Regions from separate parts of the Mus musculus genome. Here all the other regions are reported to be linked to region 4. Evidence: microRNA targets listed by miRTarBase, many of them from high-throughput screens and not tested one by one. Region 4 holds a microRNA gene; each other region holds the end of a gene's coding sequence.
Evidence for each region. Region 4 holds the annotated microRNA mmu-miR-181a-5p (AACAUUCAACGCUGUCGGUGAGU, at 2,239-2,261, shown strand). A microRNA usually pairs through its seed, bases 2 to 8, with sites in the 3' UTR of a target mRNA and lowers its output. Matches are read on the target gene's strand: a 7mer-m8 pairs with bases 2 to 8, a 7mer-A1 pairs with bases 2 to 7 and ends in A, and an 8mer does both.

Region 1: the mRNA of Morc2a is a reported target of mmu-miR-181a-5p. Seed matches in the 3' UTR shown: 7mer-m8 at 1,140-1,146.
Region 2: the mRNA of Zic1 is a reported target of mmu-miR-181a-5p. The part of its 3' UTR that is shown has no 7-base or 8-base seed match.
Region 3: the mRNA of Pkia is a reported target of mmu-miR-181a-5p. Seed matches in the 3' UTR shown: 7mer-m8 at 1,855-1,861.

The regions. Positions count from the first base shown.
Region 1 is chr11:3,688,626-3,691,809 of GRCm38, forward strand. Morc2a (microrchidia 2A) reads left to right here. Exons shown (of 27, transcript NM_001159288.2): 27 at 410-1,852. The coding sequence ends at 478. Among named protein-coding and RNA genes, the nearest start is that of Morc2a, 41 kb to the left of the region's middle.
Region 2 is chr9:91,359,021-91,362,204 of GRCm38, reverse strand. Zic1 (zinc finger protein of the cerebellum 1) reads left to right here. Exons shown (of 3, transcript NM_009573.4): 3 at 439-3,184. The coding sequence ends at 636. Among named protein-coding and RNA genes, the nearest start is that of Zic1, 5.2 kb to the left of the region's middle.
Region 3 is chr3:7,441,508-7,444,691 of GRCm38, reverse strand. It overlaps Pkia (protein kinase inhibitor, alpha), which reads right to left. Exons shown (of 3, transcript NM_008862.3): 3 at 1-2,681. The coding sequence ends at 2,602. Among named protein-coding and RNA genes, the nearest start is that of Zc2hc1a, 60 kb to the left of the region's middle.
Region 4 is chr1:137,964,230-137,967,413 of GRCm38, forward strand. It overlaps Mir181a-1 (microRNA 181a-1), which reads left to right and starts at 2,226; the gene lies at 2,226-2,312. Mir181b-1 (microRNA 181b-1) reads left to right here and starts at 2,410; the gene lies at 2,410-2,489.

The DNA of each region.
Region 1 (3,184 bases), not on the chromosome of region 4:
ATGAAGGAGCTGGAGCTATGAATGGGGTAGTACTGAAATAAATAATGAGAGATGGAATCCTGGGGGAAGCTACTTGCCTAGGGTTCTCAGGGTAGAGATACTTGTACTGAGACTGGGAGCTCACTAAGCTGTAATAGGAAGTTGTAGGCAGTAGGAGAGGTTAGAGACCTCTACATATGTGGTTTGATGTGGCATTGTCCAACTTTTAGTATAAGACACTAATCAGTTTGAAGATGTACGGGTTAGAACCAGGAAACCTATAAGAAAGCTCCCATCCTTTTTTGGGCATGCAGATTTAACTGAAATTTGGAAGTAGGGCAGGAGCAAGAAACAGAAGCTGACAGCTGGCTCAGGCCCATTCTCCAGCCTGTGTTCCTGCCCCATCTGACTCCCACCCACTCTGTTCCAGGACATAGACATCAACACAGATGATGAGCTGGATGCTTACATTGAGGACCTCATCACCAAAGGGGACTGAGGAGCCGGGAGGCTAACTCCTGCTCATACCTGCCCTCAACACAGCAGCTTCGGGGAGGGGAGTTCATTTGTGACTTGGTGGACTTGATCTTGGTTTGAGTCATGTGAGACATTTGTGCTTTGGGAAGGAGATTCTTTGAATCTTCTTCCCTAAGTTTACATAAATATTTATTTTTTAAAAGAGAAGATGTTAATGCCTGCTGTGAGACCGTACTTTTTTTTGTGTGACTCTTGAAAGGGCACAGAGTCTGAACCATTCAGCTCCTGGCACCTCAACATAGGATGAAGAAAGCACCATCCTGAAGTTGGAGAGGCTCTAAGGACATCAACAATGGGATATGAAAGATACATGGCCCCAGGGACTCAGCTCTGCAAGACCCTCAAGGGGTGATCAAAACAGGCCCAGTATCAGAAAGACACTCCCTGTAACAGATCTCCTGGTGTCCAGACAGGGCTGTGAAGGTCTGTAGGCTGCCTGAGCAGCTGTCAGTCATCTTGGATGTGACAGTATCCAGACAGCTTGGAGATGTTTCTTAAGGCTCAAATTTCCCAATATGCCACCTACTTTGTTACTGGAGGAGCCATTTCCTGAGTCAACCACACTATCCAAGCTCAAGCATAGACAGCTCTGACCGGTCAGATCCCTGGGCTGGATAGCACTCTGAATGTTGAACTCCAAAGATTCTCAGGGTGTGCAGGTGTGAAAGCTCTCTGGAGGAGAAGGCTTCCACAGTGGTGCTAGTTCCTGGAGAGCCTTTGCTGCTGCTTTTCTACTATGTACTCTCTGGGCTCCAGAGAGCCCTGCACCTCCCATGCTCTGGAGGTGAGGAGGACAGACCATGTGCTTCAGACAACCACTCAGAGCCAGAAAGGCACGAGCTTCATCTGATGGCTGTCGGAAGAATTCTGGTTCCAGTCCCAACTCTTCACACTCCTGTTCAAGACTGATTTTGTACTCTTGATCCAAACCACCTTGGGATTTGTATCCATCAAGGCAAGGCTGCCACCTTGTGTCCTGGGGTCTCTGCAGAAGATGGGGAAGTGTTGGTGAGGGAACTGTGCACATATGGCTGGAAGTGCCTGCTTGAGTTCTGCCATCAGGTTGTTTAGGGGGGATAGCATTCAGAAGTTCTTCTCTGGAACATTCTCCAATAGATGGGTTTTAAGTTGGTGCACTTACCCCCACGGCTGCCCCCATCCAACTTTCTGTTGACCCTATCCAGGCAGAGTATGATCCATTTTTTTCCATAAACCCACTGTTTAAAAGGAATTTGGCCCTGCATTTTTATTGGCAGGTAATACTCATTTTGATTTTTTTTTTTTTTTACTTACACATGTAATCAAAATGTGTTACTATAAATTTCTACTGGTGAGACTCCTGCGTTCAGTACATTCTTACGTGAATCACAAGACTTTTCTCTTCATTCTGTTACAGCTCCACCGTTCGTTTTAGCTTTAACTTTTCCAGATTTAACTAATCCAGCCTCAACTTTTCTGAGTGTTGGGTCTTTCCTGGGAACATCATGGAATAGCTGACCTGGAACATTTTGATGATAAGGCATTCACTGGCTCTAAGGGAGAAGTGTGGGGTTTAAGATGCTAAGTAACAGTGGGTGGACGTGGTAAGAATTTAAATACTACAAAAGCCTGAACATGAAAAAAGGACTCTCTTCTACCTGATCCCTAAGTTTTCCCTGGAGATCAGAATATTTATCTTGGGCACCCAGCTACACATCTGCCCTCTTGGGTTTCCTTACATTATTTGCCAAGAACATATTGTTTCAGAATGGCCAGTATGGGTCTACTTTGTTCTGAACCATCACAGGGCATTTCATTATCTTGGTTGTGCTGTCATGAAACAATATACTTAACAATTGTAACACCTGTGAAGAAAGCTGTGGTATGTGTGTGCCTTTCTCCATTACATTTATATAAAGGATAAGTTCCAGAAAGGCCTATCATTCTGCTCTCAGCATCTTCCAGTTTCAACTCATTAACTGTAGGTATCTCAATCCTAACTTTTCACTATTAGTAAAAGGGATTTAGTGCCCACATAATGGAGCATTTTGGCTTGCCTAGGTGTATGGTTTTGTTGGTAGAGAGGTGTATGTACTTCTGAGTCTAGAACTAGGGTTCTCTTTGTAGATCATGAGTTTTTGCAAAATCCTCAGGAAAATAATCCTCAGGATTCCTAACTCCATTAAGGAGTAAAATGCTGTTTACCACCAGATAAAGATAAGTAGTACAGGCTAAAGAAACTTTTTTCTTTTCGTCTGAGAGACACTGCTTTTTATCTCACAGGCTCGTTTCCCAAGTCTGCATGATGTTCAGATACAGCGGCTCCTGATAGTTTGCACCTTTAGGGATCAGTAGTATGTGCCTGAAAAAATTCCAGATTTGCTGTTTACATAGAACTCAGGTTTTGTGCTTGCACTGGCTACTTGAACCCTGTTGGGAAGATCATCCAACAGGGTAGGATGAGCCCAAAACATCCTAAGAATTCTAGCAAGGTTCTGGACTGGAGATAAAACCACAGGGCCTCCATGTTCAACAGCTACATGGTACTTACTTCTCAAGCAGCTGCAGAGTCAGCTTGACCCAGGAGGCAGGGCTCAGACTGCCCATTCCCTTCCACTGCTGGAGGGACTGTCTCCACGGTGAAAAGGGATGGTAAGGCAAGGCAAGGTGTTGCCATGCCTACATTTCA
Region 2 (3,184 bases), not on the chromosome of region 4:
AGAGCTGCTGCGGTGAACGCGGCCATCGCTCCTGGTAGTCAGGAGCAGGCGGGCGAGATGCTGCGGTCTTGGGCTCAGCTCTCAAAATCCGCTCTCCTCAAAGTGGGCAGGCAAACTTTAGGAAGGGAACTTTCCTAGCCTCTGGCCTCAAAAGCAGCCTCCTCCTTCCCAGCCCCCCTCCTCTTTTTCTTTTGTGAGTACTGTAGGGCAGAGTCCCCTCCTGGAGCGTGGCGGTGCTGGGCTACGCCGGGAGAACCAAGCCCAAGTCCCATTGGCCCTGCCTGCGGAGAGTCTGGGAGATCCCTGGCTTTGAAAGAAGCGGGGAGGGGTAGGGGAGGGGGTGCCCGGGCGAAGGGAGGGGGAGCACAGCTTTCATAGCCTTGGGTAGCTGCTGGGCCCACTCTTTATCTTCATTAAAACGCAACTTTATTCTCTCAGGTCCATGAGTCCTCTTCTCAGGGCTCACAGCCTTCGCCCGCCGCCAGCTCGGGGTATGAGTCGTCCACGCCACCCACCATCGTGTCTCCCACAACAGACAACCCGACCACCAGCTCCATGTCGCCCTCCTCCTCCGCGGTTCACCACACAGCCGGCCACAGCGCGCTCTCTTCCAATTTTAACGAATGGTACGTTTAAAATCAGAAACAAAACATGCCGACCCCCTATTTAAGAGACTGAACACACACGTATATACGCCGTATTATTGAAAGAATCCTGAAACTCGAGACACCCCTCGTCCCGATCCCGCAAACGTTTTTATTTTTATTTTTGTTGTTGTTGTTGTTTGTTTGATTTTGTTTTTAAATCTGCCGGTAAATCCAGGACTGAGTAAAACAGAGGAGGCAGCAAGCCTTTAGGTTTTTTCACTCCAAATTTTTCCTTCCCCCACCCACCTCTGAAAAGGTTTGGTAGCTGAAGGGCGGAAGGGGGTGGAAGAGAAGGCGGCTGCCTGACCGAACACCGCCAAAGGCCCCAGGGCCAATTTCTTGTTGGATCAGAACAAGCTCTCTGGGGCTTCAGCTTTTCTTTATCTTTTTGTTTTGTTTTCTTGTAAATACAGAATTATTAGCTTAAATCTGTTCTGTTGGATTCTGTATATAGCTACACTTCGGTTGGAGTGGGTGGGTGGGATCGTGGCGTGGTGGTCTTTGCCTTGGGGAGGGGAGGGCCAGAGGGAGGGGGAGGGGGAGGGGAGGGGCGGCCGAAAGCCAACTGTTTGTACTGAATGGCAAGAATGTTCTAGTAAATGTGTACCAAAATGTGAACTACTTTGTACGATTACAGTCTCCACGTCGACCTAACAGAATATTATTGATATTAATGTGCTTTTTTTTGTATAAAGTGCAAACATTTCGTCCCAAAGTCTGAGTACTTTAGTGCAGTAAAATGTTGTTTCATGTCCTGTCAAGAATTCGTATAGTACGAGCCTGGATCTACGTGTCAAACTGTTCCATTTGTTTATGTAAAGTGATATTAAAAAGATATAAACTATAGCTGTCCATTGCTTTTGGCAAAATATACAACCACACAATGTATATAATTCCTAGTTTCCATATTTATCCGCATGTAAAGGGTCTGGTTTATTCATGTTACAGCTATTCAATATTTATGGCTAGTAAAAAAAAAAAAAAAACTCGTATGTACACTTTAGTTTCCAGAACTGTTTGGTAACCTTTCGTACGTTATTAAAGATTCTTAAATCTCAGTGATTGTGGTAGGAATTTCTTCGTCACGCTCCCTTCCCCCAGCAACCTGTGCCAGCTTTAGTGGATCTTGGGAAAGCTCTCCAGCCTCTCTTGCCTTCTTCTCTGTCATTGCTGGTCATATAAACTTGATAAATGAACGCTACCCTGCTGGCTCTCCGAGAGGGTGTAATTAGTATTTATATCAAAATTTATGAAACAAATTTTCGGCCTCAGTATAATTTAAATGACCTTTGCAGACATAGAATAACAACCATAAAAATAACGGAAATAGATTGCACAGGCAACATCAATATTAATGTAAGCGAATTGTGAGAAGCTCGGGGGCTCTTTCTGTAGCCTTGCAAATGAACTTACAGTCATTCAAGGGTTCAGCTGCCCCCCCAATTAAATCCCCTGATCTGAAACTGGATTGTAGATTTACAATATTATATTTTAAATTGCTGTCTTCAATTAAACCATTATGGCCATAACTAATTTTCAGGATGCCGATGCATGCTTTTCCAGGCCTTCCATCTTTGTACAAAAGTAAATGTCCATAAAGCGTTTCACTTATATTTTTTCAAACGTGATGCTAATTTAAATTAATTACTTCCTATGATATATTATTATTCTATAATTTTGCTACTGTCATTAGTTCTCTCAAAAATACATCTAGAAAAGAGAATTATTTTATGTAATGTGATTATCTTTCTATCTCTTTTATTTATTTCTCATTTACTTAAGAAATTCGTTCCATTGGCTGGCGTTGATACAGTAAATTTGTAAATGAGGAGACAATATAAAAAATCTAAATTACTTGTGCTTAATGACTGTGGCAGAACGCCTTTTCTCTAAATCAGATTGTCTTTCTTGCAGTTTAGTTTGATAGATTTGCAAGCTATGCTGCTTCGGAGAAGTTAGGTTCTCTGGTAGGGATGCTGGTTTCTTTGTCTCTTGTTGTCGCTTGCATGATCGCCCCATTAGGCAGACAACGTAGCTAGAACTCACAAATCAGGCCCTTGGCTATGGCTGCAGGGGTGTAGATGTGTTAGGAGTCAGGGGAAGCATGATTCTGCTTCTCCACTGTCCTCTGTATGTCCTGCAAGTTACAGGCCTAAGGAGACCCTTCTGAGAGCTTTACATGTGTTTCACAGCAATAGCAACTTGAGAAACTAAACCACTAGCTAATTATACAATAAAAATATTATCATCGTGAAAGACACCTCTTGCTACTTGTATTTCTCACGTTTAGTCAACAAAGTCTTATTTACGGATAAAAGGTTTTGCTGTGTTAACTTCATCAGTTTCTTTTTTAATAGAAAAGGGTGGGGATATTGATGTTTAACTGTAAAGAACAAAGTTTCTCTGCTTATAACAGCGATATTGGATATTGGCCTTTTGTACAAAGAGCGCTATCTTGTAAAATTTGTTGAGATTTTGGAAAGTTAAATACCTAAGGAAGAGTTGCTGTCAACCCTAAAAAAAATTGTTACATTAAA
Region 3 (3,184 bases), not on the chromosome of region 4:
GGCTCAACCACATGTGTCTTTGTCCCAAAGACATGTGTACAAACCCAAGAAAGGCTAGTCTATTTAGTAACTTAAATTCTTTCTCTGTAAAATGCAAGCTGACTGAGTGTATTATCTATAGTTTTCCATACAGAGAAACACACTGTGTAATTAGCTTAAATTTTATGAAATGTGGATTCAAAATTCTGTTGATAAACATGGGCTCAAATTAGCTTTTTAGTTTTGCAAAAATTAGTCCTTATTCATGTTCACATTGTAATTTGTGAAAGGGGCATAAGATGAAACTGAATGGTACATTTGGTTCTGAAGTGACTTAGCTGGGGTAGTTAACTAACACCCCTTTCCTTGGGCTGCCCACACTTCCATCTGCATTTACAGATTCATTCCCTATGTAGTATTATTTACTTGCAAATGATAAGTATTAAATGAAAACCAGGAGATTCTATGCACTTTTGCCAATTAAAATTTATGTGATGTGACAAATTCAGAATGTTTATCTCTTTTCCCTTACCAGCCACAGAATCCCTCTAGGATTGAATACAGGACACCAAGTAGCAGTAAGAAATCAAATGAAATCAGAACCTCCCTATGACTTCTGCATTTAGCACTACTTATATATTTAAAGACAAGCATGGCACCGCATGCATTAGTAATAGTATATGACACAGGGGTATAACCCTTCCACACAGTCTTAGCACTGGTTCAACACTTTACAAAATGCATGTGAAACCAGTGTGGAATTACACAACTTTAAGAATGATCTTCCTATTCACAAGAAAGCTATCAGCATAGTTAAACAAGGACATTGAAACTGTTGGATGTTGTAAATAGATTATCGGAGATTGTCTCAAATAGGCCATAGGTTCACAACTTTGAGTCTATCAATAGGTAGATTTGTTTCAATTTTAGCTAGCCTCCAATGACTTAGATCAAAGCAAGGCCTCTCATATTGAATGTATTTACTGTTCTATATCCAGAAAGGCATACTTAACAGTGCTTGTTTTTCTGGAAAACATCCAGTTGGGGACTAAATGAGATTCATATATTCCCAGTCAGTAATGAAAGCACTCTATGGGAAGATATAGGCAGACTTCCTTGTCTACCTTGTCTGTAACTACAGACTCAGGTCGAGTTCCTACCGTACCCAGGTCTGCCTGTTGAAACACCTCTACCTACTTAACCTGGAACTGTAGCTATGCTAGTGCTCCAGGACACTTAGAGGCTCTTCTGTTGAGAAAGTCTTCTTTCATCTGTTATTTGCCTCCTATGATGCACCAGGTGAACCTTGGGCATCTAACTGGATCCTCATTTATTACCAAAGATAGTTGGTTTCATAATACTGACCAGAGAGGGTTATACAGGCCACAGAAACTCCCCATACAAGAATTGTGATGTCAAAACACAGCGTAGACCATCAACAGCATCAGTAAAAGTGTAGTTGGGTGATAATTTTTATATCTGAATGCAATTCACACAAATTATTAGTAAAATTTTACAAACATTAAAAAGTGCATAACAACATTTGGGTATGAAAGGGCTGAGAGGGGCCACAGCACAAGGGCTTTACTTTTGAGATGGGTGCCCACAGGCTTTGAGGAAAACACTTCCTTCACAAGTTGTCCTCCTGCGTTAAACAGTGGCACCCAGCAGTGTGAGAAAAGTGATCCTCACAGCACAACATTTCTAGCTCTTTGCATTATCTGGCATTCTTTGTTTATTTTGTTGATTCTTAAAAAAATTCTTATAATGAAAAATTAAAGTATCAGTTGAAAGTACTTATTTGGAAATAAAATCAATATTGAAAGACAGAACGCTGGTCTGTGTAGATACTAAGACTGAACTCAGGCAATATTCACATTCATGGATATTTCCACATGCCTGTATAATAAAGCAAAGTGGGCTCAGTGAGTCTAGTGGATGTAACCCTCGGCAGTTATCAAGAGGAAAGTTGTGTTTTACAAAAGAAGGTTCTGCCCTGTTCACGCCACAACACTATGGGAAATTAAAAAGGCAGCCCTTTAAAAAATGAGCGGTATAAAAATTCACAGTCATGTACATCATTTTGTTTTATGTAAGCAATCAAAGGGCAGTGCAGAGCAGGTGTACTGTACGATACAAAACGGCGTAAGTAACAGCACTCACACACAGGGACATAATGCTAACTGTGCTCTCTGGATGGTTCTTTTTGTGAGTCAATACTCCAGCCAGAGATACTGAAACTCTGGGGTTCAACCAACTCTTTTCAATTAGACACAATTAAATCCTCTGACATCATGAGGGGCCAGATGCCACAGGAATCATCAGCTAGGCAGTGCTACTCTCTACAAGCATTTCATTATACGGTCAAGTGGAAGGACCCATACACGAAGGAGATCCAAGCACAGCCCAGGTGATTTCAACCATTGCTAATGACAGAGGTGGGGAAAAGGCTGTGTGCAGACACAGGCTCCATCCCCACTTGTGACATGGCAACCAACAGTGTCTTGCTGTGCAGCGCAGCCATTTTCTTCCCCTCCGTTTCACCCGTGGCTGCGAATACATCCGAGCATCGCCAGGATATTTGCCACATTGTCAGATGTTGATGACCGTCAGAATGGAGTGTTAGCTTTCAGACTTGGCTGCTTCTCCCTGGGCTTCTCCACTTTGTTCGGTGGAGCTTCTCTGTCCATCATCTTCACCTTCTATAAGAGACAATGAGAAGTGAGAGCAAAGAAAAGCTCATGGTTCCTGTCTCTCAGAATGCTGGAGACTTCAAAGTCTGAAATGGTTATAGAGAAGTGGGTTTTCTTAGAAGTGTACAATAAACAAAACTGTATATGTGTTCAGAGCCCGGCACTTTATGAGACATCAGAATGAAAGTCAAAAATAAATGACCTGTGAAATGTCTAGAGTTGTTAATGGTGAACTACGCTTCTGGTGAAGGAAATCTCATGGCCACACTCATCACTCTTAAATGTGGTTTTACAATCTACAGAAACCGAGTTGGCATTGTGCCCCAACTCTAATGTGAAGAAACATTTAAAATTTCCTTTTTCCATTATTTATAGAACTTTAGGATAATACACCTGATTTCTAAAAATTCTATTAATTTATAATTGATATTAACAACAGAAGGTACATGGATTTTTTTTTTTTTTTGATATTTGGTCAGTCTCTTGTCCAACAGTTTGCTGGTCTCTGATAT
Region 4 (3,184 bases):
GAAGACCTTCCAAAAATTATGAAGGGAGAATGGTTGCCTACGTGCACACAAATGACATATTTCTGGTGGCTCTTGATTCAGGAAAAACTGCAAGGAAGCAGATGGTTAACACCAATTTAGAATCCTGGAATCTTAACATTTTCTAAAAATAGTCAAATAAGACTCGACACCTGACAGAAAATGTAAAATTTCAATACTGTCCAACATTAATATTCCAGCCAATTATCAAATTTGGAAAATAACAGTGCAGACAAGGTTAGCTAGTAAAATAGTGATTGGAACCAGCATTGTAGAAAGCCGAGGAAAGGTAAGCTAAATCAGCAAGTAGACATCTTTCCCCTGTAGAATACCGTCCTGAAGTTATTCTCTTACTGTGAGGCAGGTGCAGCAAGAGCAGAGGTGCTTTTCCTCATGGAGAGTGAGTTTAAGTTATTGAGAGGTTTTTCTCATCAAAAACTATAGCCATGAGAAAAGTACATGTTTCATTGGATAAATAGGAGTTAAAATATGTCAGTGATGTGATGTTTAATCTAATTTCTTACTAAACACCAATCACTTTCAATCTCCTAAGAACTTCATGATAGTATTCTCCGTAATTTTATTCTAAGAATTTGAGAAATTTGGACTTATATTTTCTACAGAGAATTTTAGAAGGTTCTGGAAACCCCTCACATTGCGGTGCTTTGCTATTAATTGTGATTCGGATGGAAATTGCTTGATCGTAGTTCCAATTTTGTATATTGAGATAAGGCAATGATCATGGCTTAGAGTCTCAGCTCAGCAGCCTTGAAAAAATGATATCAAAAGCAATGACAGGTATGTATAGAAGCAATGGGATGCTGGCCTGAATATGATAGTGCAGTGGTCAAGCAAGGGAACATGAGCAACATGCATTCTGGTGAAACTGATAACACAGATGGTCCCAGGAAGACTTGCTTTCCTTCCACAAGAGACAGCCCTCTGCAGGAAAGCTATCTCAAAGGAAGCCACACAGGACTATTCAGATTCATCAGTTTTATGTCTTGTAACTATCTGAAGTCTGAATGCATGCCATCAGCAGATCGTTACCTTATCTACCTCAAAATACCAGCCAGAGACACTTGTCCTGTAATCTCTTCGTGTACAAGATAATAAATGATTACAGGTTTAGCATACAATATTCTAAGTAAATAAAATGAATATGTATAAAAATTTGGACTGAATGGTTCACCAATATTTTATTAATAGTTACACACACACACACACACACACACACACACACACACACACACACACACATATATATATATATATATATATATATATATATATATATATATATATACTTATTAAAGCCACTTAAGAGTCTACATAAGTATAATGTAGTAACTTTCTACCCTAGTTTTGAGGAGTACAAAGGGATTTTTGTTTAAGTTGATATTTGAAATCAGTTTTGAAGACATGCTCAATAGAGTTCATACTAACTTGTAAATGCACTTCATTTCAAGAACACCTAGGAAATGGATAGAAGTTACTGCCAGATCCACTCAATCAAAACAAATAACAATATTAGGATATAATAACCAAAGTGAGAGGAGTTGAATTTCAGGCAGTAGGCATAGGTTGTATTAATTTTCATTGTAGTTTAAAGTCTTGTGTCATAAGCAAAGAAAGATGTGCTAAATTGGTTTGATTCCTTGATTGTTTTAAAAATAAGTATGTTTAAAAGAAATTATACTAATTAAAATGCCTATTGTAAAATAAATGCTTATTCCATGCACATTGTAAACATAGAAGTTCAAAATTGTTAGCAATGTAACTTGAGAAAACCTAAGTGGTTTCTGCTTGATTCTGCATGACCTACATGCGTCCTTGCAGTTCTTATTATATACATACCAATATTTAAATTATGAGATACTTAGATACTATTTGTTTTGCTTTTTGATAGTTCCAATTTTGTTGAATGATAAATTCTCCCTGTCTTTAACAGCCTGTAACTAAGCTCCCCCCAAAAGGACTTTTCTTCCCTTTTGAAAAAAAAAAATCCGATTCTTTTCTTTGACACAGCACAAAGTGGAGGTTTGCCAAGCTCTGGGCTGGAGGAATCCTGCTTCTTTTCTTCTGTACTCTTTTGAAATGGTTTAAAATGTGTGACAGGTTTGGTTAAAGGATTGGGCTTTCCTCTGCCTCCCTCCTGCTCCAGACTCCCACAGATACTGTTTAAATCAGCACATCTCTGCCTCACAGGTTGCTTCAGTGAACATTCAACGCTGTCGGTGAGTTTGGAATTCAAATAAAAACCATCGACCGTTGATTGTACCCTATAGCTAACCATCATCTACTCCATGGCCCTCTGCGTTTGCTGAAGACAGAACCGCAAAGCAGGACCCGACAGGATTCTCCCCGCCTCTTCAGAGACTATGTTTACAAAGGTCACAATCAACATTCATTGCTGTCGGTGGGTTGAACTGTGTAGAAAAGCTCACTGAACAATGAATGCAACTGTGGCCCCGCTTTTTGCTGTCGCAATCAACAGACGTTCCCTCCCTAATAGAGGTCCTGGGGGTATTAACGCCGTTTCTCGGTTTAACTTCTGCTGTCTGAACTTTCAGGTTTGTTTATTCAATTCATATCAAGTCCTATTTCTGTGAGGAAGTCACTAATTTATATAAGAATACTGCTTTTCTATACTCCTGGGGGTTACAAATGGGGCATTTCTTAAAAATGCTAAAGTGTTGGATGCCCAGAATCAACTGTGTAGCCCTGGGTTGGCACGGCTTCCTGCTCTGCTGTGCTGGTGGGAGGAAGAACCAAAGAAATATCTTACTTCCTGCCCCGTTATCCGTCACATTGTTACACAGAAAATAACCATCCCCTCATCTTTCATTAGATTTCTTGGTCAAAATGGGCTTGAAGCAAGAGGGAATTCTTTTGCTCTGCATAAAGAATCGCTGAAATGGCTCTACTCTCTATGGAATTGGTAGGCAGAGGGATAGTACCTCAATAGCCAAGTACTTTGTTATCCAGGGGCTCATTATAATCATGCAATAGATTTGTTTCCCCAGAGAGACCTCAGATTTAAGATTATAGTTCATCATCTTTATTTACCCTCTACTTTCTTCTGAAATGGTAGACTTGATTCCAGGGACTGTCTTCAAGCAAGTGTGTGTGTGTGTGTGTGTGTGTGTGTGTGTGTGTGTGTGTG